Coturnix japonica: one gene and its partner. The protein of the gene in region 1 purifies or fractionates together with the protein of each later gene. This does not show direct contact. Links are inferred from orthologs where the notes say so. Each region holds a gene or a part of one and is shown on either strand. Other genes may lie near its edges.

Region 1 (15,124 bases):
ATAAAGAGTAATACCTTGTCTCAGTGAGTACTTTAGGATTATGGATGGTATTATTTATGTTACTGCTGAAGCACATTCCAGATGAATTTAATATGAGAACTATAAGTCAACAGACATATTGATGGACTCTTCTGTTATCATTCATAAAGCCATTTATCCGTTATGTGTATGATTTGTGGAAAGGGATATGGGCTTTTAAATATGTCTTTCCTTTATGTCTTCTTTGAGACTTTCCCAATTAGCTCGATTTTTATTTTACTATTTTTAAATATGAACGTTTAATAGTGACAGCTGTAATACTGTGTGTGTTCCCCAGCCCCAGTATCAGGGCTCCAGCAGAAATCTTAGCAAATACCATGTGCTGCAGTCACGGGGTAAACTTCTTTCGTGTGTAGATTATTTGATGATCATGCTTTTATATCATCTGATTTAAGCTAGTGTAGTTAGTTTCCAGATGATTTTACCGTCTTTCTCTGGCCCGTTTGAACTGGGTAGGAGTGCTGAGGATCGTGATGATTTATTTATTTTTTTAATAATTTTGTGACTGTTTTACCATGATTGAGCTTTCTCCTTTAACTTGGAGAAAGAAGGTAAACTTGCTATTTTTTTTTTCCTAAATTATTCATTATGACTGTACGTGTGAAGATGGAAGCAGGAGTTCACACACATTGTTTCACAGAGAATGTTAACAAATTGGTTGTTACATTATTAGGTCATATCTCTTTACAGAAAGAATAAGGAGTGAGATGAGGTCAAAGTCGACCTTCACTGGATGGTATTGGATTACAGTGCCTTATTCTGTACAACACTGAGCTCCCTTAGGCCACGGTTTTTGACCTCCTATCAAGAGTATTTTGGCTCAGCATATTTCTATTAGTTCATACCTAGCGTGATTTCTTTTTTTCTTCTAAGATGAGAGCAGCTTTCAAAAGGTGCTCTGATAAAAAGATCAGCACAGCTTGTGACATGATGAAGTCCTAAGGAGAAGGTGAAGCATACTTCTTGTGCTCTAAGTTGATGTTTTGGTTTCCTTTCAATGGCATTTATTAGCTTCTTTAATGATATTTGTCATAGGAAGTCCAGAAATAAAAGGAAAAATGTACTAAAACCACAGCTGCTTTGCACAGAAGTAGTACACAGTTTGGCACGTTGTGGTAAAATTTGCATGGCATCTGTTGAAAAGGTTACCCCTTCCAACTGAACATAGGAACTATAAGTATGGTTGGTAACGTGGGATATGGCTAATGACTAAATCGTTTTGAACAATAAATGGGACATCAAAAGTTGGGGATAAAGGGAATTTATTTCAGTATTCCTTAAGATTACTCGGTGTAGTGTATTCAGTGAATGCTGATAACGTGGAAACCATATTTCTTTCATTTTGCAGCTACAGGTCCTGTGAACTTGACGGGAGAAACCTATAACTGTTCACTTCCTCCTTTGCTGCTCATACTTGATAGAGACTTGTTTTTAAAAAAAAAAAAAAAAAAAAAAAGGAAGAAAAGGAGGGAAAACTTTAGATTCCTTTAAAGAAAAACAAATAGAAAATAAGAGTTTCTTTCCCCCAAATGCTGTTGTAGCGTCAAGTTAATTTGGTACTTGTAACTATTATACTGATGAATTTTAGGGACGTGTGACTTTGTGTCAGGTCAGAATACTGTCATCAACTGTAAGATGATATTACCTTATGCTGCTTATCCTAATGTCTTTGACCAAAGTCTCTGCAAAATGGCTGTTAAGCTGCTTCTTCACTGGTTTCAACAAACTCTTCTATGTGAGCAACCTGATGCTAGCTCTGCTGCTTCTCTCTGTGATGTTTGTGGGGGACTAGAGGAAAGTAGGTGGACTTCTACATGAGAATCCTTAAGCTGTTTTAAGAAAAATTACATAGATAATTGTTACTTCACCTTGTTCTGCAGTCCAGCTTCTGAAGGTATGGGATTCCTGGTACATATAATGACTGACTTGTAGGAAAGGTCTTTGATATTAACAAAAAAAAAGTATTATGCTTGTGGGGTTTTTTTGTGTTGGGCATTTAGAAAACATGACAGTCTGATTTGTACGTGTTTATTTAGCAGTCTGATACTGTTATAAGGATTCAAAAAGTAGATTAAATATGTGGAGAAACGCGCATTTCTGAATTTTGGAATATTTGAGTAGTTCTTACCCAATGTTGCTTTTACTAATTGTAATTATTCTGTTCAACAGCAGTGAGCGGAAGAGCATCTGCAATGTCAAACACTCCTACCCACAGCATTGCAACTTCTGTCTCCCAGCCTCAGACGCCAACTCCAAGTCCTATCATTTCTCCTTCAGCCATGCTACCAATTTACCCTGCTATAGATATTGATGCCCAGGTAAGCCTTCCACTGTCACTGCAGTGCACATGTGAAGCTATTTTCTTTCTGTATTCTGAATAATTCATTTATAGGGAACAGCTCTGTTGCATAATGAGACTTGATGAGCTGATTTTAGAAAGCCTGTACAACTCTTGGGAGAATTGCAGCCCAGTTTCTTTCGTGCTCTAGCTGAACAAAAGAGAAGAGCCTTTGTTGTACATCACTAAATGTTTGTATTTCTCATTTCTTCAGTGAGTGAATATGAGAAATAGGGTAGAAAAAATTAAGTATTTTGGGGTTGACTTCTGAAAATGAAAACAAGGCTAAAAACTTCTTGCACACTTATTTTTCACGGTTGTGCTTTGAGTTGTTGGCCAGTGACCCCCCAGGCCTGACAGAAGTATGACAGTATTGCTAAAACATCTTCAGAAATGATTGATGAGAGTTCTCCCTCTCACCAATGTATCTGTATTGAAAGTCATTTTAAAAGCACCTGCTATTTGTTGACTTGGAGCTGTCAAGCCATCAAAGGGGGGGGGGGGGGGGGGGGAAGCGTGTAATGCTTTTTTTTATTTTCCATTATATTTATTTTTATGTGCATAGTTCTAGACTGTACAGTAAGTGACCAAGGTGATAGGGCTAAGATACAAGCAGTGTGGAGATGAGTAAGTATGGATTGTTGTAGACTGCAACAGGAGATTATTGTGGACTGGGGAGAGGAATCTCTGGGAAAACAGTTCCAGTTAGTTCAGCTGCTTATGGCAGTTGGCTTGGTTTCTGCTGTGACTGCAGGTCAGATTCCTCCCATAACCTGATGTGTCTGATTTCTAACTGGTAGACAGCAAGCAGCACATGTCAGTACTGAGTTTGGTTGCCAACTGCCCTCAGTCATAATAGAGTAAAGCAAAACTAAAACTATGCTTACACTGAAATCGGCTCTTGAGGGATATTTTTATAATATTCCAGGAGAGCAGATTAGAGGTAGAATTCTAACCTGAACTTGAAAGAAAGATGAGGTGACCAGTAAATAGGTCTTAAGTTTTCATAGTTTTTATTTCATTATCAATGCAGTTGTATTTGCAACATGACAGAAGCTGTACTTGAAAAAAGGAAGAACTTATATTTCTAATGATTTCTTTTTCAGACTGAGAGTAATCATGACACAGCATTGACGCTTGCTTGTGCTGGTGGCCATGAAGAACTAGTACAAACACTGCTAGAGAGAGGAGCCAATATCGAACATAGGGACAAGAAAGGTAGCTATCTCACTGTGGCAATACAGACCCACTCTTGTCTTCACTGTAACGTAGTTAATAAATATGCAGTAAATATAGTTTTTGTGTGAAGCTTTTAGGCTTACTTTCTTGGTGATTTAACATAAGTTGCTTAATTTGAAGTTATGAATGTGGATTCTTCAAACATCCTTTTTCGTTCTAGGATTTACTCCACTTATCTTGGCTGCTACAGCTGGCCATGTGGGTGTTGTTGAAATCTTACTTGATAATGGAGCTGATATCGAAGCCCAGTCGGAGAGAACAAAGGACACTCCCTTGTCCTTGGCTTGTTCAGGAGGCAGACAAGAGGTGATGTAAACTTTTAAGTCTTCAAGAGCAGGCTGTAGATTACGTATCGTCTGTTTTTTATTTTACGGAACATAGTAACTTGTTACACAGTGCTGTTTCAGGATGTTTTTTAAAGGCACAAAGAGTTAACATTTTTGAAGTTTCTTATTGCAGTGTTTGATGAAAAAATCCTTTTCCTATTTCAATAAGTTGGACCAGACCTGTGAAACAGATCTCCTAACTCCTGGCCAGTTAGGGGGTTTTTACCTGCATAAATGGATGTGAATGTGGAAGTGAATGGGATCAGTGTTCCTGTTGAAAAGTTAGAGTTTGCTATGAAATAGCTCCATATATGAGCCAAGAGGATGTTATAGTTGGTTCTGCGTAGAATATGAGTACTGTAGATGGCTCCGGTGTCTTCTGTTTTGTTGGGCTTTTTAGTCTAAGACATTTTTCAAATGATTGATGAGAAGTAAATATAAAGGAAGTCTTTTTAAATGTTATGTGGAATACTGTGTTCTTGAGAAAAAGTCAGATGATAATGGTCTTAACAAGTTTGAAGTGTGTAGTTCTGTAAGTGCTTCTGTTTGGTTTGCAAAGGCCACAGTGGAAACCATATAATCTGGTGCAGGGTATTGTCGCATATGAAGATGATGGTTTCACATTTTCCTAGACAAAATCTTACAAAAATTTGTCAACCTTCTGGCCTGTTTTTCAGCCCCATTCAGAAGATGTTAAATGGGACAGAGGACAGTCAGCAGCTGCAGAAGAGCAGCTGCAAATGACAGTTATGTGTTCTTGATTCTGGGGGAAAACATTTTAGTCTCAGCTTTCACAGAGGACAAGAGTAGAGTGAAGGAAATGAAGAAAACCGCTGTCCTTACATTGAAAGATGTTAACAGTACAATATAGGATTCTGAAAGCGTTGAATAGTTTTGTATCAGACAGACTTGAAAGTCTGAGAGAAAACTGTATGTTATTTTTTTAAAATATTACAGGTGGTGGAGTTGCTTCTAGCTCGAGGTGCAAACAAAGAGCACAGGAATGTTTCAGATTATACACCTTTAAGCCTTGCTGCTTCTGGTGGCTATGTGAACATTATCAAGATTCTGCTAAATGCTGGGGCAGAAATCAATTCCAGGCAAGTTCCTTTTTCACTTCTTCATGGTCTTTACCCTTTCCAAAAGGCTTTCTGGGCAACTCAATTGAGCAGGTTGGCTTGTGCTTACACAACAAATAATTATCTGTGTAATTGCCTTATTTGTAGTAGACTTCAGGTAGGAAGGAAAGGTTTTTGAATATGCTTCTTTCAATGCTCACTTAGCTTCCAGTTGCTTCTGTATGTTTTGATAATGTCTGCCATGCGTCATATTACATTAGTCCCCTTTGATTAAAGGTTAAGAAAAATACTCCTCCTTTCTCTGATTGGCCTGCAAGTTTGAAATTACTTCTGGGTTAAATAATAAAAAAAAAGTGTGCATGTTTGTTTCTCATCTGTAATTTAAAGAAAGATTTTGCTGTGTGTTTGCATTTGTGTAGCGCCTCTTGCATACATGAAGTAGTTCAACCATACATTGCACAAGTCAAATAAGTGTTCAAGCAGAAGTTCCTCGTAAGAAATGCTGTCAAATTTACAGTAGTTAAAATCCAACATGCCTGCAATGCTTTGAAATATAAATACTTGTCCAAAGTTGCTGACAAGAACCTTCCATGGTTTCAGTTATAGTTGCTGTGTTGCTGTCTTCCATTCTTGTTAAATATTCTATTTTTTCTGTTTTTGTTGAAGTAATCTCAGAAATGTGATTGTGATTTGAACTCCTTTATCTTTTCTTCTTTCAGAACTGGTAGCAAATTGGGCATTTCTCCCTTAATGTTGGCAGCCATGAATGGCCACACTGCTGCTGTGAAGTTATTACTGGACATGGGCTCTGATATAAATGCCCAGATAGAGACCAATAGAAATACAGCACTAACTCTGGCTTGTTTCCAAGGGAGAACTGAAGTGGTTAGCCTGCTCCTTGATAGAAAAGCAAATGTGGAACATAGAGCTAAGGTAAGAAGCAAATTGCTCTCCAAAAAAGAGGTACTTCCAAGTATTTAATGAATTTAGAAAGTCATATTCTTGACCTAGGTTGTACTTAAGGTCTGATCTCTTCTCCTTGTCTGACTGCTGGGGGGATTTTGAATGTCTGTCAGAAGTTAATGTGTCCCCCTTCACCTAGCCAGGCACTTTCTGGATGTTGCTGTGTAGCCTCTCAATGAAGACTAAAAACAAAAGTGTTGCAGGTTTTTTTAGCAATGCTTATGCTGATCATCAACTGTGTAAGGTTGACTGTGCTATTTCTGAGATGCTGTGACATCAGCAAGCAAAGAACCTTCTTGAACACTGTGCAGCAGCAGGACACCTATGCACTGTCGTGCCTCTTTTTCTGTACAGGTGTATATTTTCTCTCCTTTGAAATATTGGTAGTCTATTACAAAACTGGTCAGGAGGGGCTGTAAAGCTGACTTGAAATATGCTACTGGAAGTAGAAATCAGTCCTCTAAGTGAACCCAACTCCCAGTTCTTTCAAACAAATTGCTTGATTCTCTTGCATGTTTATTGTAGACTGGTCTCACGCCATTAATGGAAGCTGCTTCTGGTGGATATGCAGAAGTAGGCAGAGTTCTGCTGGACAAAGGTGCAGATGTAAATGCTCCTCCGGTACCCTCTTCAAGAGACACAGCTTTAACCATTGCAGCAGACAAAGGGCACTACAAATTCTGTGAGCTTCTTATTAGCAGGTACTGTATTTTTGAAAGTGCAGTGCTTAAAGGAAACGATCTCTAATCTGTGTTGCAATATACACTACATGATAGGGAATGAGAAGAGTTCTGTTAGACCATTAGTAATTATGCTTTCTGTTCAGTGAGAGCGATCAGACTAAGTTGTGTTTGGTGTTTGAGTACTTACTTTTGGCTGTGTGGACTGATAGAATTTTTCCTGTTTTATGAACTTGAGAACATTCAGAGCATTTCATGTGAAGGTGATATTTCTTGTGGTTGCATCACTGGTGCCTTCAGTTTAAATGTCAGTCATCGAAAAGCAGAAGATGTGCACAAAACACAAGTCTTAATGATTTCATCTGTTTGAGGTTGGTCAAAGTACGCTAAGCATAATTGTTTCTTGAAGTAGTGGTACTGGCTGTTGGCTTGCACTCACAACTTTACAAGTTGTTCTCAGTAAGCTATTGAGGAATACAGTGTACTAATGGATAGAAGTTAATGAGGTAATTAGCAATGCTTCAGACCCAACTGACAAACAATATGATTCAGAGTATTAAAAATCCATGTAGTCTGAGTGTAGGCTTTTGACAGCATCAGAATCTAAAAAATATTTCTGAAACTGAAGCTCTCTTTGAGTGCATATGTTTTATGTAAAAGCGAGTGCTGAATTAGCCTATTTTTCTTAAGCATTGCATGAACTTTTGCAAGTCCTGTTGACACAAGTAACTAACATCTTCTCCATTGTTTTGACTGAACTTTTGCTTTTGTAGAGGAGCCCACATTGATGTGCGTAACAAGAAGGGGAATACTCCACTGTGGCTGGCAGCAAATGGAGGGCATCTAGATGTTGTCCAGTTGCTAGTTCAGGCTGGAGCAGATGTGGATGCTGCTGATAACAGGAAAATAACTCCTCTTATGGCAGCCTTCCGAAAGGTAGAATGTGAAGTTTACCTTTGGTTTTTATAAATGTTGACTCAGTCATCCTCATTATTATCAGGAATAAACAGGAGCATAACTGATAAGCTGTGTCTTTAAAGATGTGACCTACTAATAGTGCTTGGCATTGAATCTTCAAGAATAGGTGTGCATTTCACCTGCATGATGTTTGTTAAATTCTAGTAGAAATTCTTTATGGTCATTTTACTGACTATGATTTTTCATGGATCTGAGAACAGAAAATTACAGTATTCTCTATGGAGATGTGGAATATGCAACAGAAGTAGGAAAATGATTTTTAAAATGAATTCTTATGCAAGATTGGATGAGTGTTTTAAAAATCAACTTTGAGTTAGTCTGGCCTGACTTGAGGTAATTGAGTGTAGTTCCAGTTCAATAGTAATTTAAAAATTACTAATGACTGTAGGAATATATAACTGTAAGTAGCCAGAGCCAGATGTTGGAAAACTGTCAAAGGGGAAAGATAGAAGTATGTGAAAATTAGGCTGTAAAGCCAGCTTGACAACAGGTACTTGAATTGCTTTGTCTGTTCCTTCTTCAGGGTCATGTAAAAGTGGTGCGCTACCTAGTGAAAGAAGTAAACCAGTTTCCATCAGATTCGGAATGTATGAGGTACATAGCAACTATTACTGATAAGGTAAGGCTGTAAGATAACAATACTGTGACTCAACAATGCTTGTATGTTTTCAGGTGTTCTCCCTGTCAGTGGTGTGTATGTTCTTGCCAGTGACTGTGACCACTGGTCACTTGCATGATGCTGAACACCCAATAAAAGTAATTACTGCCGTGCAACTAATACAGGTTTATAAGTATTAAAATACTTGAATGTTAAAATATTTCCCAGGTGTTTCAGGGAGAAAGTGGGGAGCTAAGCCTTGTTTTGTGACGGCCTTTCAATTTGTGCATTTCTTTCACCTCTCAGACTATTTCTTTGGTTTCATGAACACTTTGTCTTCATTAGGTGTAGATTATGAACTGTCTTTGTACCACTTTAAGCATGCTGAGATATTAATTATTGACTACAAGTTCTACCTGTTAATTGGGAATCAGTTTGCGGAGTTGGGCATGAAAAGGAAATTTCAAGCTGTGGTGAAGGAAATGTTACATTGATAACAGTTTGGACTTGGGATCATGTCTTACTCAAGAATGGAAGGAGAATTTCATCTGTCATGGTGCCATGTCACTTACTACTCGTGACTCAAAATCAGTAAATAAAACTTTTGCAGCTTATTTGCCAGTGAGAGACTAACTTGGTATAATTATGGATGTTTTGTAATAGTATTGCACTGGAAGTAATGGAAAATGTTTATTTTTTTTTCTTCATTAAAAGTTTTCTTTGCAAGTAAGGAAATCAGTAAATTAGTAGCCTAAGCTTGAGAGTGTATACTCTAAATGTGTGCTTTTACCTTTTAAAATGGAATGTTGATGTACTTTGTTGTTTTAGGAGATGCTGAAGAAGTGCCACTTGTGTATGGAATCAATTGTTCAAGCCAAAGATAGACAGGCTGCCGAAGCCAACAAAAATGCAAGCATTCTTTTAGAGGAACTGGACTTGGAGAAGGCAAGTTAAGGGTTTGCAGTTGGGAATATTTATTTGATAAGATTACAGATTTGTATTCCTTCAAGACCAGAAGACCTGTGAATGTCCGTACTGAAGTATAGGAGTAAATGTAATCAGTGTAGTTGTAGTATCTAGAGCTGAACATCTGGTTGTTCAGGTTATGTTTGTACCTTCCCTTCTGACTTTTACTAAGAGAAACTGGGTTAAGGTACTCTGATATAACTATATTTTCTCTATATAATACTGTACCAAAAAAGGATTTTGAAGAACTTTTTTTCTGTCCAGTATGCAGTAGGTGAGCATTTTGCAGTGACATTGGTCTGGTTTCGAGGTCTAAATCCCCTTTTGTCTTAAGTAAAACAAAATATGTGGATAATATTCCTTGAAACTATAGTTTTGTAGTAGAGATGTTATTAAAAAAAAAAAAAAAAAAAAGACTTAAGTAGGAATGTGTCATCAAATGAGTGCATGTTTTATATCCAGCCCAGCTAAAACTATGGCACATCCTAACCTTTGAAAGGAGAATGAGTGCGTTGGGGCAGTACTGCTAAGACAAATGTAGTAGTCTTAGAATCCTGAAAACATGTTCTGGAAAATTCATTTAAGATGGTGTTCTCTATTTCTACATCAACCTTCTGTTAACATGGGAAAACAATCTGTTTGCAAGAAGTAAATGTAAAAATATAGCTCACAGAGTTAAGCTGACTTTGTAAATGTGTTAGTCTAAAATGCAAGTTCAGCTTCTCAGGAAAAGGGAAAAAATGGCATTTGCTTTTTTTGAAATGCATGGAAAACATACTGTAATGTGCTTTAATTTTAGCTACGGGAAGAAAGTAGGAGATTGGCTTTGGCTGCTAAAAGAGAGAAAAGAAAGGAGAAACGGAGGAAGAAAAAAGAAGAACAAAGAAGAAAATTAGAAGAAATTGAAGCTAAAAGTAAAGAGAATTTTGAACTTCAAGCTGCTCAGGAGAAAGAGAAGCTAAAAGCTGAAGGTGACTTCAACCTCTTGATTTATTTGTGAAATGTGCCTCTTGAGTTTTCATTTCTAGTTTTCCAATGGCTTTTCTTGTCAAAACTTGAGTATAGTCGTCTTATGACATGCTGAGCTTTTAGTAGTTTACTTGAAACCAATAGATCACTCTGCATTTCTGCCTTCTTATTACTTCTGTGTCTTGTTATGTTTAAGGATTGGTGACAGCAGGTTCAGTGAGAGTTGCAGGTTAACTTAACCACAGGAAATGTTTTGGCATGTTTTTACTTCCAGGTCCTACTAACTGAAACCTGGCCAAGTTGTGTTTTTTTCCCTCACACACAGAATAATAATTTTGATCCGGTTAAAAAACAAACTGGCAACCATAAAATTCTACATATGTTGTCCTATCTATCCAAATATTGGCTGTTCTGTATCTTGTGGTGTTGAGCTGCATCTTTGGTGGTGTGCTAAGAAATGGTCTTCACTGACTGCTGGGTTGTGCCGATAAGCTAAAAGAAAGGGAAATACTTGTGACAGACTTTGATCTGTTGTTTCATGTACTTGTTATTCCTGTAATTGCTTTTGTCTCTGTCTTTCCATGCTTGAATTTAGTTTCACACTTAATGAATTTCTGCTACATTTATTTGAAGATCAGAATGAAATGCTAGATGAGTTATAACAAACAAAGCAAGCAGCTCGATGGCATGACTTGTTTAGTAGTTGTACAAATACTGGCTTTGTTAGAGACTCTGCTTTATTCTTGGAGTCTTCTAAAGATGTTTGTGCAAGATTTAACTTGATAAGTGTTATTTGGAGCACACAACCATACAAGGTTTCTTGAATTATCTAAATTAGTACTGTTTTATATTCCTTCCACCAGATGATCCAGAGGTCCCAATGGAGCCTCCTAGCGCTACCACTACGACCACCATAGGCATATCTGCAACTTGGACAACTTTAGCAGGTTCTCATGGGAAAAGGAATAATACCATCACCACAACAAGCTCCAAAAGGAAAAACAGGAAAAACAAAGTAGCCTCTGATAATGTTCAGATCATATTTGATGACCAGCTCCCAATTTCTTATAACCAACCAGAAAAAGTAAATGGTGAATCTAAGAGCAGCAGTACTAGTGAAAGTGGTGATAGTGACAACATGAGGATTTCCAGCTGTAGCGATGAAAGCAGCAATAGCAACAGCAGCCACAAAAGTGACAATCATTCTTCCACAGCCGTTACTAACACACAGAGCAACAAAAAGCAACCATCGGTTCTTGTTACTTGTCCGAAGGATGAGAGGAAAGCAGTTACTGGCAAATCATCCATAAAGTAAGTTGCTGTGACACCATTTAAAGTGATTGTTGCATTACATTTGGAAACTACACCACTATCTGCATGGGCTTACATATTTAAATCAATTGTTAGGAAGTGGATGAAGCCACAGTGGTGTGTGAGGAGTATAATAATGGAGTATAATAATGGTTGAAATTTAACATGAAATAAGTAGTAAGCTCTTAAGGAAGATTCATTGGTGTGGATCAGAAATATAGAGAATTGTTAAGTTATTCAGAAATGCAGGCATTTCAATTTAAGCCACCTCTTAGTATAGTACTTCTGAGCTACGTGGTAGTTACTTTGCTTTGTGCGATCTTGCCCAAGGCTGCTCAGGGTTTCACTTAAAACGGTTTGAGACAGAGACAAACTAGAAGTACTTTTCTGCCATTTTGAGAGCTGTAAAATGAGTAGAGCTAATTAGAGAACTTCGCTAGTTCTGGAACGTGAAACAGTTTGGAGGTACAAATTAGATATGCTCAAGCTTTTTAACTGCTAGTGAGAAGTACTTATTTCAAGATGTGGTGTACCATTTCATTCTCTGTATGGGAATTGTGAGAATGCAAATTCTTAACAGATCTTAACAGATTGCTGTTTTGATGGAAGATGTCTTTGAGTAGTAGGAATTTCTTCCTTGTCAATTCCAGCTCTTGGAATACAAATACCATTTTAGCCTTCATAAGCAGTGTTGCTGTTTTGTAGTGGGTGGTCTGGGAACACCACAATAACGTTTTACTGAACGGTTTCTGGGGACCAGAGATAATTTTAAGTGATTTTAACTCCATGTTGTTATTAACGTGGCTTGTGCATTTTTATTTTTGTTTGTTTGATGTGCTAAAAGAGGAAATAAGTTTTGACAGGCTTCAGACTGGGCCTAGTGGAAAACATTGTTCTGATTTTCTTTGCTAGTCTGCATTTCAATAAATAATAATTTATTTTAAAGGTTGTCTGAAGTCATCAATGAAGTGACAAGTAATTCCTTGTCTACTTGCACAAAGTCCGGTCCTTCCCCCCTTTCTTCTCCAAATGGAAAGCTTACCATTGCTAGCCCTAAACGTGGTCAAAAAAGGGAAGAAGGATGGAAGGAAGTTGTAAGAAGGTAAGCTAAACTTTTCCCTAATTTTCTCCTTACAGACTTTGGCTAGTCTGCCCATTACTTCATGCTGTTTGAAGCGTTTCCCAGCTAATGTTTCTTTTTTTTCTATAGATCCAAGAAGGTTTCTGTTCCATCAACTGTCATTTCCAGAGTCATTGGCAGAGGAGGATGTAATATCAATGCTATACGTGAATGCACGGGAGCACACATAGACATTGACAAACAGAAGGACAAAACTGGAGATAGAATAATAACGATAAGGTAAGCAGACCATTCTGTTCGTTTATTCCTGTGAGGAATGAACATTTTTCATTACAAAACATGCTAATTTGTATAGACAAATCTGTTCAACTGGGATTGTTCCTTGAAAGACACAGATGCTGCTTCTGGACAGGGAAGACAAATAGGGTAGCAGAAACAGATGAACTGTAAATCTTGTACGTTTGCACTTGTACAAAAGACTTTTACATTTCTAAATATGCCCACTTATTTAGATAAGTCAGTTTTCTAACTGGATGGTGTTTTCTGGGTTAGAGTACTCAATTTTAGTTTCTTAAATAACCATCAGCAACGAAAAAGAAAGGCAGCCTCTCTCTCTCCTCACTTTTTTTTTTTTTAAATCTGTTAGTATGACAGAAAGATTGGCAGGAACCTGTTCTTTAGGTACATCTCTGTGTGTAGATGTTCAAAATTCACTTCCCTTTTCCTTTCCTTTTGTTGTTCAGGGGTGGCACAGAATCAACAAGACAGGCCACACAGTTGATTAATGCTCTGATTAAGGATCCAGATAAAGAAATCGATGAACTTATTCCAAAGAACCGCTTGAAAAGTTCATCTGCAAACTCCAAAGTAGGGACATCAACACCTGCTGCCACTACAGCTGCTAACAGTTCTCTTGTGGGAATCAAAGTGACCACTGTAGCTGCTTCATCAACATCTCAAACTGCCTCTGCACTCACCGTGCCTGCAATTTCTTCAGCATCTAATCACAAAACCATTAAGAATCCAGTGAATAATGTGCGACCTGGTTTCCAAGTCTCTCTTCCATTAGCATATCCTCCTCCGCAGTTTGCACATGCTTTACTCGCTGCTCAGACTTTCCAGCAAATCCGTCCGCCTCGGTTGCCCATGACGCACTTTGGAGGTACTTTCCCACCAGCTCAGTCCACATGGGGTCCGTTTCCTGTTAGGCCGTTGAGCCCTGCAAGAGCTACCAATTCGCCTAAACCTCACATGGTGCCTCGCCATAACAGTCAGAACAGCAGTGGTTCTCAGGTGAATTCAGCAAGTTCTTTGACAACTAGTCCAACAGCTACAACAAGTTCAGTGGCTTCTACTGTGCCTGGTTCTTCTGCAAATGGCAGTCCAAGTTCACCTTCAGTCAGAAGGCAGCTTTTTGTTACTGTTGTGAAGACGTCAAATGCCACGACAACCACGGTGACAACCACAGCAAGTAACACCAGCACAGCGGCTACTAATGCCACATATCCAGTTCCTACTGCCAAAGAACACTACCCTGCATCTTCCCCATCATCACCTTCTCCTCCGGCACAGCCAGCAGGCGTTTCTAGAAGCAGTCCTTCAGACTGTGCAGCAGCCTCTCCTAAAAATAAAGGTGCACCTTCGTCTGATCAGGAAGTGGGTAGTCCGCCAGCAGTAGAAACAAGCAGCTCAACCAGCACTAGGCAGCCCAGTACAGGTTCTGGGAGTTCCTCTGTGCACCCTGCTCATCAGCAGCCTCCAGGAGCTCCTCTGCAAGAGGCAAGACCCCCTCTTCAGCAACCTCAGGTTCCTACACCAGATCCTCGAATGGTTGTGCCTCCAAATTTAGCAGTGACGAGCTCATCTGCTCCTGTGGCAGGTCCAGCAAATGCCCCAATGACCTATCCCATGTCTCAGACATCAATGGGGTCTTCTCAGCCTGCAGCTAAGATGGAAACCCCTGCCATCAGACCGCCTGTCCACGGAACTGGCAGCGTCCATAAGAATCCAGCTCCTGTGCAAAATTCTTCTGTTGCAGTCCTCAATGTTAATCATATCAAAAGGCCCCCCAGCGTTCCTTCTTCAGTGCAGCTTCCTTCTACCTTAAGTACACAAAGTGCTTCTCAGAATTCAGCCCATCCAGCAAACAAGTCCATGGGTAACAATTTCAGTGCTACTTTACCGTTTGGGCCCTTTAGTACATTGTTTGAGAACAATCCTACGTCTGCTCATGCCTTCTGGGGTGGTTCTGTCGTTTCATCTCAGACAACACCAGAATCTATGCTGTCAGGAAAGTCTTCATTTTTGCCAAATTCAGAGCCTTTACATCAGTCTGATACTTCCAAAGCCCCAGGCTTTAGGCCCCCATTACAGAGGCCAGCTCCAAGTCCCTCAGGTAAGTCTGACTTGTGTTTATACGTGGTTATTTTCTTCTAATCATCGCTACATGTTTTTGTTTCAAAGGCTTACCATTTTCAGTTTCTGTAAGTGTAGTTAAGTTCTTCTTTAAGTGACCCCTGTCAAATTGTCAAATCCATACCCGTTAGCAAGCTTGATA
Region 2 (15,553 bases), on another chromosome or scaffold:
TGTAACGCAATAGCTTATGTAAAACATGACTGTGAAATCTTCTCTCTCTCTCTCTCTCTCCCTCTCTGTCTTTCTGTCTCTTTCTTCTTTCCTTGGGGGGCGGGAGGGTTGGGGGGGTGGGGTGGGGGGGTGTTGGTTAACATAGCTTTCAATGCTATAGGAGTTCTGTGAAATTACATTCGTGCACTTTTTGTTTGGTTTTAATTATTCTTATTTTCCACTTATTATTATTTCTCTTCTTATGTTTCTTTGCGCTTTATCTGTATGTGCTGGAGGTAGCTATTGAGACAAACATCCCAACAACATGAAACTGCCTATTTATGCTAGAGTTATCTCTTTCTCTCTCCTTTTACTTTCCTTCCCTCTGTTCTTTTGTTCGCTTCGGGATTTTTTCCTTTCCTGTTTGTTCGTTTGGTTGCGATTTTTCAATGTCTCTTAAAAAAAATAAGAAAAAAAAAAGAGAAAAATAAGAAAAAAAAAAAAGAAAGAAAAAAGATCATGAAAAAAAAGCGTTTTTTCCTCTCCTTTAGTTAGCATGCGCACAGTGAAGCAAGTTGTAAAGTGATCCTTAGGTTAACTGTGAAAAAGAATGTATACTGTATACGTGAATTACTTTATTGGGGGAACTAATGATATATTTTGTTGTTCTTTCATCACTTTGTTCTATTGTCTAAACCTGGAAGCGGCGGAAGAAAGTTACAATAAAGTTTACAAGCGAGAATTCCGTGACATCATTCTTTTACCCTGCTCCATTTCCTCCAGGACCACTTTGATAGAAAGGAAATAAAAGTCAATTGTGTGGGAGCTGCAACCCCGGCCATCAAAGCCCGCAATGCCTGAGAGATGCTGGGCCGCTGCTGGGCCGGGCAGGGGCCGGGGAAGGGGCGGGGGGGGGGGTTGGAAGAGGTGGGGGGGACACAGCGATGGCTTCTGCTCTTGTTGTTGTTTCTAACTGTTCATGCGTGGTGACAGGTTGGGAGATGTGTGGAAAATCATCCCGAAGGTAACGTGTGTTTTCATTGCCCTTCTTTCTCTCTGTGTCTCTCTGCCCTCTCTCCCTCTTCCTAAAGCTTTCTCTGCACGACGGAGCCCGGCTCTGCTCACTTTCCTTTCCAACCCCCCCCCCCCCCCCCCGCCCCCCTTCTCTGTTCTGTGTGTCGAAGCGGTGCAGCTGAGCTCTCTGCTCTCCTGCCATAGCAAAGGGAGCGCGGATGGGGCTTGGGGATGCACACACATCCCCTTGCAACTTAACCTTGGGAAAGGAGAACCGGTGCAAACCCTAACGGCACATCCACCATTGTCTGAGCTGCTGTTCCTGCCAGTAAGACTTTATTCCTTTCTTACTCCCCCTCCCCTACCCCGCTCCCTCCAACCGATAAAAGAAAGGGGGAAAATTGAAGCTGATCTGGAAGATCTCTTTGCTTCTCCAGCAGAAAGCAAATCAGCCAGCTGGTAACGCTTTCCTATAACTGTAATTGAGTCCCGCAGAAGCGCTGACGCGCTAAACAAGGGATCTGTACAGCCTTTATTTTTCGCAACAAGAAAAGCAAATGCCAGTTCAATACGAAACTCAAAGCCCGTGGCATTGGAATAGATGAGATATAGAGCTGAATGGCATTTGAAGTGGGGGGAAGCGGGGGGGGGGGAAGAGCTTGGAACTATTAGGTATCAATCAGACATTTGTCTTTTGGGGGTGGTCGCAAGAGGGTCAAGGGGGGGGGGGGGGGGAGAGCATGTAGTCCTCGGAAAAAAGTGCTTCGGAGCCGGGAAATGAAGCGAAGGAGGGAATTTTCGACGGGATCAATAAAGGGATAAATAGAGCTCCGCTCCTTTTCCTCCACCAGAGAGAGACCGAGAGGAGCAGCGCTGCTCACCAACCCCCCCCGCCCCCTTTCCACCCCCCTTTCCCTTTCGCCTTCTCTTCTGCCCTCGGTCCTCCAGCTGAAAACTGATTACAGGTTGCTTATCGACTCCAGCACAATTTCACCCCCTTCCAGCATAGATCTTGGAGGGTTTTATATCGCATCAATTATTTATCATATTTTATAAATCCAGCAGCACTACAATTTTTTGCCCCCGAGGAGGGAGCGGGCGGCGATTGGCGCCGCTGGAGCCACGTGCCCGCGCGTCACATGGGCCGGGAGGAAAAAGGGCTCCTTTTTGGTGTAAATCTGGACTCTAATTCCGTAATATATCACGGTACCTCGTAAAACCGACACTAAAACGTCCCGACCTACAAATCACCCGGCCAAATTATGAGTTCATTGTATTATGCGAATGCTTTATTTTCTAAATATCAAGCCGCAAGTTCGGTTTTCCCATCCGGAGTCTTTCCCGAGCAAACTTCTTGCGCTTTCGCCTCCAACACCCAACGAGCTGGTTATGGGGCCGGCTCCACGCCTCCCTTCGCCTCCTCCATGCCCGGGCTGTACTCCAGCGGCAGCGCCGTGCACCCCCAACCCCCCGGCATGTATTCCTCGGGGTACGGCCTGGAGCCCGGCTCTTTCAATATGCACTGTTCCCCCTTTGAGCAAAACCTCTCCATGATGTGCCCGGGAGATGCTTCTAAGCAAAACTGCAACAAAACGGACCAGAGGGATTCAGATTTGCAAAGCGACAGTAACTTCCGCATCTACCCCTGGATGAGGAGCACAGGTAAGCGCAATCCTCCTTAAAGAAAGGAGACTGTGGTGGGGGGGGGGATGGGGGGAGTGTAAATTATTTTATGGCGTACGCGGGGGGTGGCGGAGGGGGAGGGGGGAATTGTCCCCATCTCCTTTCATGACGTTTCACCGAAAACGAATCTCCGGCTTCAAAAGGGTGAGAGAGAGAGAGAGAAACCCCCGCCATAAAGCCATCCTTTTAGCTTTAAATATTTATTAGTGGTGCTGGGGCTGTGTGTGTGCCGTGCAAAAGGCAGTTTGTCTTAGAGGGGACAGACAGAGCTGCAGGAATAATGGCCATCCCCTTCTTCTCCTATATTTACAGGATGAAGATCGCGCTACCCCTGTGTAGATGTAGATATAGATTCCGAAATAAACTATTGATGGGAGGTGCTCTCAAGCTCGTTTTGTTTTCTCTCAGGCTGCAAACCCTTCCATTGCCAGCCCCTCGCCACCGCATCCCAGACACCGCGATTAAGCCTAGCGTGTTGCCATCTGAAAAAGCAACACATCATCCTTGGCTCAATTAAAAGCCCTGTTTACAATAAAAACGCTGACATCCCGGCCGGGATCCGGCTGTAGGGACGGATCCAGGGACTGCGGGGTGACCTTCCAAATAACCCCAGACAGGATCTCAAAGCAGGGAACCCCACGCCAGGACTCTGCTCTGCCTTCATCCCCAGCCCTGCTCCGTCTCAGTGTCAAGTAACATTTCTTAAACATCCCGTTCCCATCGCACGGGAGTGCATGGGATGCGGGTAAGAAGCTCCTGGGGCAGGAATTCCCTTCACTTTGGGCCCCACTCGGGGTACTTCCCTGTGCTTCAGACACCCGTGGATGTGTTTATACCCGAGTGACCCTGGCACGGGAATGGGAAGAGCTGTCCTGCCTGGGAGCGAGGAGAACGCATGAGCTCATGTCTCTGGCCGCTCCGGTGCCAGATTGCAACTTGAGAGCATCCCTGAGAGCAGCCAAATCTTCGGAAAGTGTCGTGTTAGTAAACTTCGGGGGCGAGGGGAGTGCGGGCCAACCTCCTGCATAGAGAGGGGAAAGGAAAACAGAGGGGCAGCCAATGCTGGGCGGCTTCACAGGCAGGAGGTACCCTAGCACTGATTTGGTGGTCAGTCCTTTCCATTACCTGCTCCATAATTCATTCAGTTTCAGAGTTGATTTATCAAAGACCAAATATTTCTGGTCGTAAACACTTCGTCTCCCCTTTTATCCGGCTTTAGATTTAAGAAGCCCTCCACTCCCCACCCCCGCACAACCCCCCCCATAACCCACCCACCCCTTTCAGCATGTGACGCTACGAGGAACAGCGTTAGGAGGGTCTGGAAGAAGGGCAAACGGGGGGACCCCTCACTCCCAAACCTGGATGCTCTGTGATCTGCCGTGCTTAAAACCAGAGAAATTCGACCTCAGGGATCCCTCCTCCAGCGTCTGATGCCCACTGTGCGATCGCGGTTGTGGAATTTCATCAGAGTGCAGAGATAGAGTTGTCATCCCTATTCAGCAGCAGTTTATGGCTCTCCCTCAGCAGATTTTACAACCCACATTCCACGACCTGCAGATTCGTACTTTACAGCTAGCACGGCTATTTTGCTTCCCCCCCCCCTCCCTCCTTTTAATGACTGGATCTTTTCTTCCTTTAAAAAGGAAAAAGGGGGGGGAAGAAAAGGGGGATGGGGGGGAAGGAAAGAGGAGTCCGATGGAATGTGTGGAGGAGAGGCCGAGGGCTGCTGTCCGCCATCCCCACTTCTCCACGAAAGAATACATTATACTATAGATAGACGTCGCATTTACACAGAAAATAGAGAGGGATCACAAGGGCTATATTGTACCATTATTCCCACTTGCACTCTGGAAACGTCGGGTTGGAGAGGGGGGGGTGGAATTACGGGGTCGGGCCCCTTACAGACCCTCTCCAAACAGCGGAATAGCAGCGCAGAGGCTGCGGTAGGGTTGAAGCTCTTCCCATGTTGTGCACACTCGGAGGTAGCAGCCCCTACGTCAGCCACAGCCGAGCAGAAGCCACCGCTGTGCCCAAAAACATCCCCTGAAATAATTAAGACCATCACACACCTTCCCAAGCAAGCAGCCCGATGACAGCTTTAGGAGAGGACAAATAGTTGGGGTTGTGGAGGTAGCGGGCGCAGCTCTCGCTGGGTTCTTTTTGTGTATTTATCCCTCTTCCATCCGAAGTTTGTGGTGTTTAAACAGAAATTAAACAGGAGCTGGGAGAGCAGGAAACTTGGTGAAGTTTGCAGCTCCATCCCGCTCGGCTCTGAGGCACAGCGGGGCTGCAAGCGGAAAATCACCGCTCCCTTCTCCGAGATGAAGGGCGATTAAATTCGCAATGTTTTGGGGCCGAGAATAGGGAGGGAGAAGTGGGAAAAGCTTCTGGAGCAGGGAGTTGGTATTGAGAATGTGGAGAAAGGTAGGATCAGCTTGTGCTCTTCCTTTTGTGGAGCTAAGGAGGACGGGTGTTGCTGGGCATCAAAATATAACCCCCCCTCTGCCCTTCAAATCTAACTGATCCTAATCTGCATTTCCTTCCCAGGCACGGACAGAAAACGCGGCCGACAGACCTACACGAGGCAGCAGGTTTTAGAGCTGGAAAAGGAGTTTCACTATAACAGGTACCTGACCCGAAGGAGACGCATTGAGATCGCCCACGCTCTGTGTCTCACGGAGAGACAGATCAAAATCTGGTTCCAGAACAGGCGCATGAAGTGGAAAAAAGAGAATAAAACTGCCTGCTCCGGTTCCAGCAGCCAGGAAAAGGCAGACGTGGAGGACGACGAGGAGGAATGAAAAGGACAAAAGGTGGATCCAGGAAACGTGAAAGCTCACGGGAACAGAGAAAAAGAAAGGGGGAAAAACCACCCAGAAAAGACTGTATACTAAAATAGATCGACGCTAAGTGCATAAATAATTAAAAACTTAGGAATGATCCGTTGTGTTTCCTGACACTGACAAAAAAAAAAATACTACCTATATCGAAGTCTTTTTTTTTGTACAATAGAATGAATATCTACCTATTAAATGTGGCTTTAGAGTCAGAATAGACACATTTTTTTCTATGTGAGTCTTCCTATAGTCCAAGTAATTTGTAAATCTCCGTTTGTACTTCGCTGTGTACTTTTTTGGTATGAAGTAACGTGGTCGTGTTTAGCACCTTTAATTTAGAAGATGTGACCTGAAAATCTGAATGCAAATGATACTTAGCATATATAGAATCCTGTACATAATAGGAATTATTATTACGCCTTCTCCCTGTAACCTCTGTGGTTCTTTCCACGTTGCAAGGCTGTTTTGTCTGTGTATATTTTTACCCGGATTTCCTCCTTGTTGAATCCCTGGGAGAGAAAAAAACAAAAAACAAAAGGAGTTAATATTGTGCTACGTAAACTGTTGTATATCGAAGTAGCAAAGTATTTAATGGCGACGTGTTGCTTTTGATTTTTCCCTCGTCTGTGTTGATTATTCTTCGAAATAAAAAGGAAATCTCCAATCTTCTCGAACCACGTTGCGTTCCATTCCCTGTCCTCGCTAAGAACACCACTCAAGGCTTTAGAATCTATCTATAACTATATAAGAGCAAATGTGTTTATTAAAAGACCCCTTTTATATTAAAACCTGCCCCGACCCATCACCACCCTGCGCTCCTTTTTCATCTCAGCATCGCTCCCAACACTTGAGTGCTTTATTCTTTTGGAGAGACTCGGCCAAAACGCGATGAGCAGCGCTGAAATTCGCGGCCGCTTCATCTGCCTCCCTCTTTGGCCACGGCCGAAGGAGGAACGCAGAGAGGCCAGGAGCGTCCAAATCACCTTTCGTTGTAATTCTCTTCTTCTTAAACCAATTTACAGGAATAAAAAACCCCGATCTATTGAGCCGGGCCTTCACTATTTTCTTTATTCTTTTCCCTTTTTAAAGATTCTCCTTCCGCTCTTCAATTACTTTACTGCGGATTGGAACTCTTTTCATTAGCACCGAATAATGTTTAGCATCAAAGAGCGCATCAAAGAAATTAAAGCAATTAAACGGGGCGTGTGGGGGGGGAGGAAATCAACAATGCAAAACAAAAGCGAGCAAATTTAAGCACTTGCTCATGGAGCAGCCCCCGCCGCTCTCCCCCTCCCGTTTATATATTTACAGAGTGCGTGGCACAACGCGGATTCCTCCAGCGGAGGCTCCGCGTAACTTGCTCGCTAAATGAACGCTCAGGATGATGCCGGGGAAGCGCAAAGGGCTTCTGGTTGGGGAATGGCAGCTTTCCGCCTTCCTCCCCTCCTTCCATTTTCGCCACCCACCGCCACGGATGGCCCCATGGAGGCGAACGGGGCATCCAGCAGAAGGTCCCAGGGAAAAAAAAAAAAGGGGGGATGATGCCACGTCAAGGAGCCGCGCGCCCACATCCATAAGAGCGATTTGCAGAGCAGGCTGCATCTGCTAATTACGGCAAGCCCATTAGTAAAAGGTGCCACTTACGGTGGCATATGAACACTGGAAATCCAGCTCGAAGGAAGGGAAAACAAAGGGAAATCTTCCACATTTTCTTGGTGAATCCTTTGGTGAGATCTCTTGGAGAGGTTAAAAAAGAAAGAAAAAAAGAAAGCTGTCTAGAAATTTCACCCCAACCCCCCGTTCTGCAGCCAACAGCCCCCCCCCCTCCCCTGCCCCCCCAGCCCCCCCTGGCACGGAGCTGTGCCTCAAGCAGAGGGGATCGAAGAGGGATCGAGGAGGGTCTCATGGAAAAGCCGAAGTGTGTGCCATGGCGATACCTCCGAGACCCGAACTGCGCACCCCGTGTGTCCCTATGGGAGTCCCCGCTTTATAGGGGGGAAATGAGCGGATCCTGTAGGGTGAGCGGCCGTGGGGAACCCCTGAGCACAGCCCCCCCCGACCCCCCCACCCCGGTTTTACCCAGGGCACGATCACCGCTGTCCGCCTTTATTTCCCTTTTTGTTACCCCCGAAATCTGCGAATTGCCCTTTGCAGCAAAAAAAGGGTCCCCGTTGCATTGAAAAATAAAGAGACGTCCAAAGTCTCCCCCGAACCCCACTGTTTTAGTGCCTTTGCTCGTTTAAAAGCCAAACCCAAGCCCAATCTCTTTATTTCGGGGGAGTCATTATTGTTCATAGCCTATTACACGAGGAATTATTCCATCATTTCTCTCCAACACCCCCCTCCATAGAACCAAAGGGGGGAAAATATCCCCGAACCCCTTTTCATATTCTTTTATTTTTGTTTAAAAAAAAAAAAAGATGGCGGCTAAGAAAAAGACTGCTGTTAAACCGGTCATGAAGAAATGCAATAAATTCCTTGTTGTTTTATGAAAATTTACAACTTTGTGATAGAACTTTATGAGTGGCTGGGTTCTGGGATTGGCCAGAGCCGGTCATGTGGACTGCTAACCGTGAACATGAACTTTTTATTATTTCCCATGTGGTTATATTGCACCATTCTTCTGTCCGCTGCACCTTGGGTCGGATCAGTGTCCTCTATAGGGCTCTCTCCTCTTTACATTTTTTTACTTTTGTGTATAGGCTCGATAGGTCTAAACCAGGGGAGAGGGGAGGGGGGACGCCTATACACACATCCACACGCACACATAGGCTCTCACATCCGCACACACACGTAGGAAAAGAGGGTTTTGGGGTTATTTTTTCCTTTCCTTTTTGGTTTTTTTTTTTTTTTTTTTTGCTAATTCCTTTGTTAATTTGCCTGCCGATTTGGAATCTCAGTAGTAATGGAGGGACAGTGGAGATTCTGGAGCGAGTGGCGGCTATCATTTTTCAAAGAGGGAAGTTACTCCATTTTCTATGCAAATGACAGAAATGCAAGAAGCTATCACAAGTCAGAGAGGCAATCGACGGCTATCAGGTTGGGACAATATTTGTCAGCTAACAGATAAGCAAACGCTGTCTCTCTCTCCCTATATATTTTGCTTATACCACAGAAATGGACGTCAAAAGGTAAGGAAATAATACCTGTTTCTCTTAATTTATTTTTTTTTCTTTCTTTGAGAAAATGCGTTTGTCAAGCTGCTTTTTTTCCCTGTTTTATTCCCTATCTCCCTCTCCTCCCCTACCCAAAGGGGGGTGGGGGGNTAGCTGTATGCTGTCATTGCTGCACCCTCCTCTGGTGCTGCTCAGTTGTCACTGTATTCTAAAGTTCTGTGCAAATAGGCAAATTGTCAGTAACAAATCACAGAATTGTAGGGGTTGGAAGGGACCTCTAGAGATCATCGAGTCCAACCCCCCTGCCAAAGCAGGTTCCCTACACCACATTGCACAGGTAGGTGTCCAGGTGGGTCTTGAATATCTGCAGAGGAGGAGGCTCCATCACCTCCCTGGCAAAGCAAATGGGTTTGGTTTTCTATGCTCCGTGGTCAGCAATCTCTGTATGTAAAAGGCTGAGAGGCTTTCTTGTGATAAGAGAGCACAGGAACATAACAGCAGGAGCTGAGATCTGGAATGTAAGCCAAGGATGGGCTGGCTCGTTCCCAATTCCTTCAAATCAAACCAATGACAATCAGTTCTTGAAAAGGGGGAAGAAACAAAACACAGGGATTACAGGATTGAAAATACTGGATTAAACAGTTACAGAGTACTGAAGAAACTACATGGTGTGACCCTAGAATACAAAAAGCCCTTAAAACATGTACAAGGTAGGATGGATCTGGAAGAAACACAGGAAGACCAAGTGGAATACAAAGGTGAAAAAGATGGAGTTAAGAGATGTGGAACACAAATGACAAAGTAAGTGGGGAGACATTATAGTACCACTATCCTACTGAATTAAGTGTGGTTATTCATTTGACTATGCAATATGAGTTAACATTGGCAGAAATGAAAAATGTTACAGTTTTTCCACTTGTTGAGAAATAAAAAGTACCAACGAAGTCTACAGGAGACTACAGATAGAGAAATTAAGTACCTGCTTGACTCTACTCAGAGGCTGGGCAAAGTTAAATAGTATTTTCGCCAGGCATTAAAACCGGGGCATACAAGCAGTCATAAGGGTGAGTCCAGTAATACATGTGGAGGTTGGTGGCCCTGCCTGTGGTGGGAGGTTGAAGCTTCATGATCCCTGAGGTCCCTTCCAAACCGGGGCCATTCTGTGAGGAGGTCCCGATACCCCGGTTGTCCCAATAACTGTCACAAAGCAAACGCAGGTTTTTACTTGGACGTGGTTTAAGCGCACACGTCCTTTCCTTGCTCATATACACGCTGAATCCCACTCCGCCCTACACCAGCTCCGCTCCTCCCGCCCCGCCGTCCCGCTCCCTCCCCCTCATTCCCTCCCCTTCGCGGTGCATGGCGGCACTCGTAGTTCTGCGGCCTTTCCCGTCCGAACTGCGTTTCCCGTGGTGCCGCAGAGCAGCGCAGGCCGCGGGCGCGTCACGGTGCCGTGCAGCCAATCGCGGCGCGGCCGAGGCGGGCGCCGTCAGCCGCCAATGTTGTTTTCGCTGAGTCGAGCCGCCGGTGTTGTTGGCGGCGGCGCCATATTGGAAGGGACGAGCCCCCCGTTAGCGAGAAGCCCCTTGGCGCTGGCCCGGCCGCCGCCATGCTGTATCTGGAGGACTATCTGGAGAGTGAGTGTGTGCGGGACGGGGACGCCGGGCGGCCGGGCACGGCCGGCGGAGGGGAGCCGGGGAGAGGGCGCGGCGACGTGGCGGCGCCCCCCCCCCTCCCCCACGGCGGCGACCCCCCCCCCCCCCCCCCCCCCCCCCCCCCCCCCCCCCCCCCCTCCCTCGTGAAACTCCCAAATGAAGCTGACGTTGCAGCGCAATAAACCTCCTCGTATTTAATTGCGCTTTGCAGTGTTAACGGGTCTTTATGGCTTTCCATGCCGGAATACCGGGTAGGGTTTCAGCCTCACGTTGTGTTGGTCCTTTCCCACAGCTTGCAGCCAGGTTTTGTGCAAATCCCCCCGCTGTTCCCCCTCCGTGCTGTCTGATTTCCTAACGCTGCCTTAAGGGTAATAATTGTCCGGAGATGCGCGTCATTTTGAATGTGATTTTCATTTTTTCCAGCTTTCGGGTGGTTGAATGTAGTACTAATGGTGACTGTTACGAGGTGCTTTTTAAACATGATGTTGTAGGAGCCTGTGTGTGTGCAACGAGATTAAGATGAGATTCATTACTTAAGCATAAACCGTTTTATGACGTGACGATTTATCTCCGCTAACTTGACTGTGCTGGAATATCGTGCGGACGAGAGTAAATGATCGCAAGCCGTGGAAATAATAAACAGAAAGACAATCTTTAACAGCTATTTATTCCCAAACCTGTTACATTTTTCATTAATCACGTTGGGGTGAAGCTAACGCTGGTTTACTGCCTGTTCTCCCTTACGTCTAAATCTCTCCACACTCGTTTCCTTTTGCTTTTTAAATCTCCCCAGCGCAACAAATGATAATAATAATAGTAATAATAATACAAACAATTTATTAACCTTCCTCCAAATCCTTTTTACGCCGATCATTCCGCACCCTCCGAGGGCAACCACTTGTGGGATATCTCACCTCGGGGCGGGCAGAGAGCTTTAACCCTCGGCCCACGCGTGCCCCAGAGTGGGGGGTCCTCGCCGTTGCCTTCTTTGGCAGCCTCCCTCCTCTTTCATCGATGGAAATAAAACGCGATGCAGGAGAAGGGAGGCAGCTCCCCGCCGTGCCGTCCCCCCGGTGCCGCCGCCGCGCCGCGGGGCTCGCCCATTCCCCGCCGTCTGCTGCCATCTACCGTCGGCGGCGGCGGGCGGCGCTCCCCGGGGGCTCCAGCAGTGCCCAGTAGGGCGGGGGGCGAGGAGGTGGGGGGCGGAGGGGATGGATGGGGGCACATTCTGGATCCCGTCCTCTGTGCCCCACTGCGAGGCCCGGCTCCGAGTTTCAAGGGGTTCCCTATAGTGTTTTGCATCCCCGAGGCCTGGTGTTCTGCTTGGAGGGTTCTACAAGCTGCGTGCGTAGCCTGAAAGCGTCTGAATGTAAATGTTTGGGATGTATGTATATATGTAAATAGATCACCTACAATAAGATCTACGTGCACCCCGTATGTCCGTATGTTGAGCTGTGCCTACTCCGATGTGTGAACACTGCTTGTGTACAACTCTGTGTCTGTTCCTTGCCATATGTGCAGAGATTTATCATAAATGCACACGCACACATATATATAAACATAAAAGCTCGCATCTATCTATCTGTATACACACATGGAAGACGAAAGATAGCTGGTTGTTTGCAGAGCAGGAGCACAAGCGGAGATCTTGTGAACTGAGCTCCAGTAATGACGTACGAGGCACAGGCGAGGTGGGATTTCAGCTAATCATAAAAGGCAGAGGGGCTTTTATTTATTTATTGCTTCCAGTGGTCATTTCGGTGGGGTCTGGAAAAGATATGTCAAGTCGTGTACACAGAATGGAGGTGGTTGCTGGGGAAGGAGCAGAGAGTAAAGGCAGACGACGAATCACTTTTAAGTTACTGCGGGCTTTGAAGGGACAATGCGTGCCTGTTATTTTAAAAGGTTTCTCTCTCTCCCTCCCTCTCCCTCTCTTTCTCCCTCTCGTTTTCTCCTTCTACCATGCAGTTTCCTGGCAACTGTTTACGTCTGGACTGGTGACATTTTCTCTAAGAAAGTGAGATGATCGGTGCCTATGTTAAAAATAAAAAGGAGGGGAGGGAAGGGGGGTGGTGGAAAGTTTCTCTCTTTTGACCCGCAACAGCCTTGATTAAACCGTTCCATGCTGTAATTCCCAACACCCCGCAGCACTCGCCTTACGCACTGCACGATACGCGTCGGCTTTTCCCTTCGTCTGCTCACCGATATCCCATCCACACTTCCCTCTCTCTCAGGGTTTGCCTGGGTGCGATTTGACCACCCCAATGTTACCCCCCTTCTTTTCCCTCCCCCTCTTGCCAAATGTCACCCACATGCAATTAGGCAGTGATCAAACACTAACATTTACCATTCTTTTTTTTTTTTGTTAATAATTAGCCTCACTCTTTAATGGAACAATGGTAGATTATTATTGCTTCTTTTCAAAGATCCCATTAACAAGGTTATTACGCACTGCACGGGAAGTCAGGTAAATTAAACTTAAATTGCTGGGAATTCAGATTTAGGCGGTTATGAGCTGGGAGAGGGGGGTATTTATTTTACACCTTCAGGGCTCATTGTTTTAAACACGGTAACAGCGGAGCACAGAGGACTTCTGTCGGGTTTCCCCCCGATGTGATTTGGCTGTGGCTGAGCATTACAGAGAGGCTGCTCTGCTGCCAACTGCTTTCTATGTCTGACTCCAGGAACAAGGGTTTTTTTCAAGTGTTTTCGTGGTGTTTGCTTGACTTTATGGCTGCAATAAGTCCCCGGGTAGGGAAACCCCCGCTGTGTTCTCACTTCAGAAGGATCGGGAATTCCAGCTCCACATGAAAAAAGAGTTTCATTTTTTATTGGAACCAACTGCACTGAACTTTCCACCAAGTTCTTAGGCGGTTTAACTCTAGCACAAGAAATGCTCTGTTCTGTTTGCATTTCGAAATATTTGGGTGTTGTTTTAATCCCCTCATCTATCTGCCTCCCTCTGCTTTGTGGGGATGACGTTTGCTGGCCAGAAAAAGCGAAGCAAGAGAAAAGTAGGACCTTCCTGGGCAGATAGCCGTGATTGTGCGTACTGTAAATCCGTCCCTTTATCTTTATTGATGCCCTGCCAGCTGAGTGATGTCAGTCAGAGAGCAAAGACGGGTTCCCAGCGCTCAGTGAAACGCTCTCTACCACCTTCTGGCGTCTCCTGCGACTTTCCCTCTTTATTGCCCCTTCTCTGAGCCTGTTTTTGAGGAGATGAGGCCAAAGGCTGAATAAAGATATGCCAATGGGCACTGTCAGAGAGAGACCTAACTTATGGGCTACTGTACGAGCTTGCTGCTGAGTCCTTTATGCTCTGTGTCTGTGTCCCTCCCGGTTTGGCTGGCGCTGGAGGCGGCCAAAGAAAAGAGATTCGCGAAATAGGTCTCAGATTTATATCGGGAAAGGCAGGAGAGTGTCTGCGAAGTGGCCATGCCCATAAGCCACCTTCCATTCATTTCTTTATTCAGCCCTTTATTTTGCCAGAGCCATTTACATGGGAATAGAAACCACCTCCGTGCTGAAGGTACGGTTCTCTAGGATACAACATAGTGTAAGGTCCCCTTTCGTGTTCGCATTCATTTTAGGTGGCAAACCAATTATTCCTCTGGCCGGACCCTTCGGAAGATGAACACTGTTACACTCTTTATGTTTTTGGATATATCTATTTTTCGGTTTGGAAATCGTGTCCTCTCTTCTCCTTTTTCTCCCCATTTGCGGGGGCCAAGAGAGGCTTCGCCCTTCTCCTAAGAAGCAAGATGTATTCATTTCATCTATAGAGCGTCTATAATGTCAGCAACAAGCAATTAGCAAGTGGCCAGTTGCAATGCGTTTTGATCTCTTACATGATGTCGACATATAAACCGCCCTAATAACCTTCTTTAGCCATAAGTGCACAATATAAGCAGTATTTTACTACGGCAAATCCGAGGGGGGAAAGGAGGGGGAGGGAGGCGAGGGGGTGTCCAAACTATTTCGAGGCATTTATTCGCACATCAACCGTGAGAACTGTGAGCAAATATTAGAGCAAACATTTCAGCAGATGTACTCACGCACGGAATTATCAGGACATCCCATTTCTTAGCTCAGAATTTGCATGCGGAGCCGATCTTGTCAGACAGTCGCTGTTTTGGTAGCGCTATCAATATTGCGTAACTCTAATCAAATGTCTGAGCGGTGCGGCTCCTGCAAAGCTGTGAACTTCAGGCTTTCATCCGATGCTTTTTTTTCTCCTCGTTCTTCTCCAGCCATCGTTCAATCTTTCAATCCCATATTTGTTTTCCTCGCATACCAATAAAGCCGATCTACGTAAGTTTGGGTCCACGCCATGCACCGAGGGAAACTCTGCAAGAACAAATATAAGAGATATCAGTCAGAGAGGGGGGTGGAGGATGGAAAACTACTTCCTCTGCATGTTATTTCCTTGAATTATAAGGATTACGTTTCAGGCGAAATGTTCATCGCAGCCATGGCATGAAACAATCTTGGCTTTGCTCCTGTAAATACGATGTTTAAAATAAATTAGCTCGTAATAAGATACGACTTTCGTAGATACTTAAAGCTCCGTCAGAGAGAGCCGAGTTGGCAGCTGTACAGTGAGCTTGTAATGTATGTAATTCTAGATCTGTAGCACACACGGCCGCAGATCCAGGCACAGAGGAGTGCGTATGATAACGTGTGTCATTTCACCGCGTGTAAGAACCGACAGACAGATGGTTACAAATTCGGATGGGGAAAGAAGTCCTTCATACGATCAGTGGCACTTCTGGATTTCATTATTACTATTCTTATCGTTATTGTCTTCTTTTTTTTTTTTTCCCCTGTAAGATCTCTCTGGCTTTTCACTTCTGATAAGAGGAGCAAACTGAGGTGGGGGGGGGTGGGGGGGGACGCACCAGGTATTGCGGAGCTCATCCCCGGCTATAAAATCCGAGGTGTAGGGGGGGGATGGAGGGGGGGAATAAAGGGCTGAATGCATCCATAAATGAAAGAGGCGACCCCCAAGAGCAAAGTGTGGCTTTTAGGGGCTTCCAGCGTTTGAAGTTGGCTAAAAAAAAGGAAGAGGTGTTTTGCAGCGGGGATGGACTCGGAGAGCTGAGCACCGCGGGGTCTCCGAGGCAGAACCCCTCCACGCCACCGCTTTCCTCTCGTAAAACAATCCCGATCGGTGACGATCAATAAACTCAGCTTCTGAGAGCAACTCAGAGCTCCCTTTTGGCCATAAAAGGTCGGGCGTGGATTTGGTATTAACAAAAAAACGCAAGAG

The links.
Region 2: the proteins of ANKRD17 (region 1) and HOXB6 purify together in Homo sapiens (co-immunoprecipitation; 3 studies listed by BioGRID and IntAct, with this or other methods). This does not show direct contact. The link is inferred for Coturnix japonica from reciprocal best matches to the Homo sapiens genes ANKRD17 and HOXB6.

The regions. Positions count from the first base shown.
Region 1 is NC_029519.1:45,247,532-45,262,655, reverse strand, and holds part of ANKRD17 (ankyrin repeat domain-containing protein 17), read left to right. Parts: intron 1-2,208; coding exon 2,209-2,357; intron 2,358-3,483; coding exon 3,484-3,595; intron 3,596-3,776; coding exon 3,777-3,922; intron 3,923-4,899; coding exon 4,900-5,042; intron 5,043-5,740; coding exon 5,741-5,954; intron 5,955-6,509; coding exon 6,510-6,685; intron 6,686-7,437; coding exon 7,438-7,600; intron 7,601-8,165; coding exon 8,166-8,261; intron 8,262-9,068; coding exon 9,069-9,185; intron 9,186-10,005; coding exon 10,006-10,177; intron 10,178-11,038; coding exon 11,039-11,486; intron 11,487-12,432; coding exon 12,433-12,588; intron 12,589-12,696; coding exon 12,697-12,846; intron 12,847-13,310; coding exon 13,311-14,962; intron 14,963-15,124.
Region 2 is NC_029542.1:3,155,492-3,171,044, forward strand, and holds the start of HOXB6 (homeobox protein Hox-B6), read left to right. Parts: upstream 1-8,530; 5' UTR 8,531-8,644; intron 8,645-12,802; exon of another isoform or gene 12,803-14,631; intron 14,632-15,553. Other genes in the region: HOXB7 (homeobox protein Hox-B7), read left to right, coding at 2,256-2,655, 5,224-5,477. UniProt on the Homo sapiens protein: Sequence-specific transcription factor which is part of a developmental regulatory system that provides cells with specific positional identities on the anterior-posterior axis.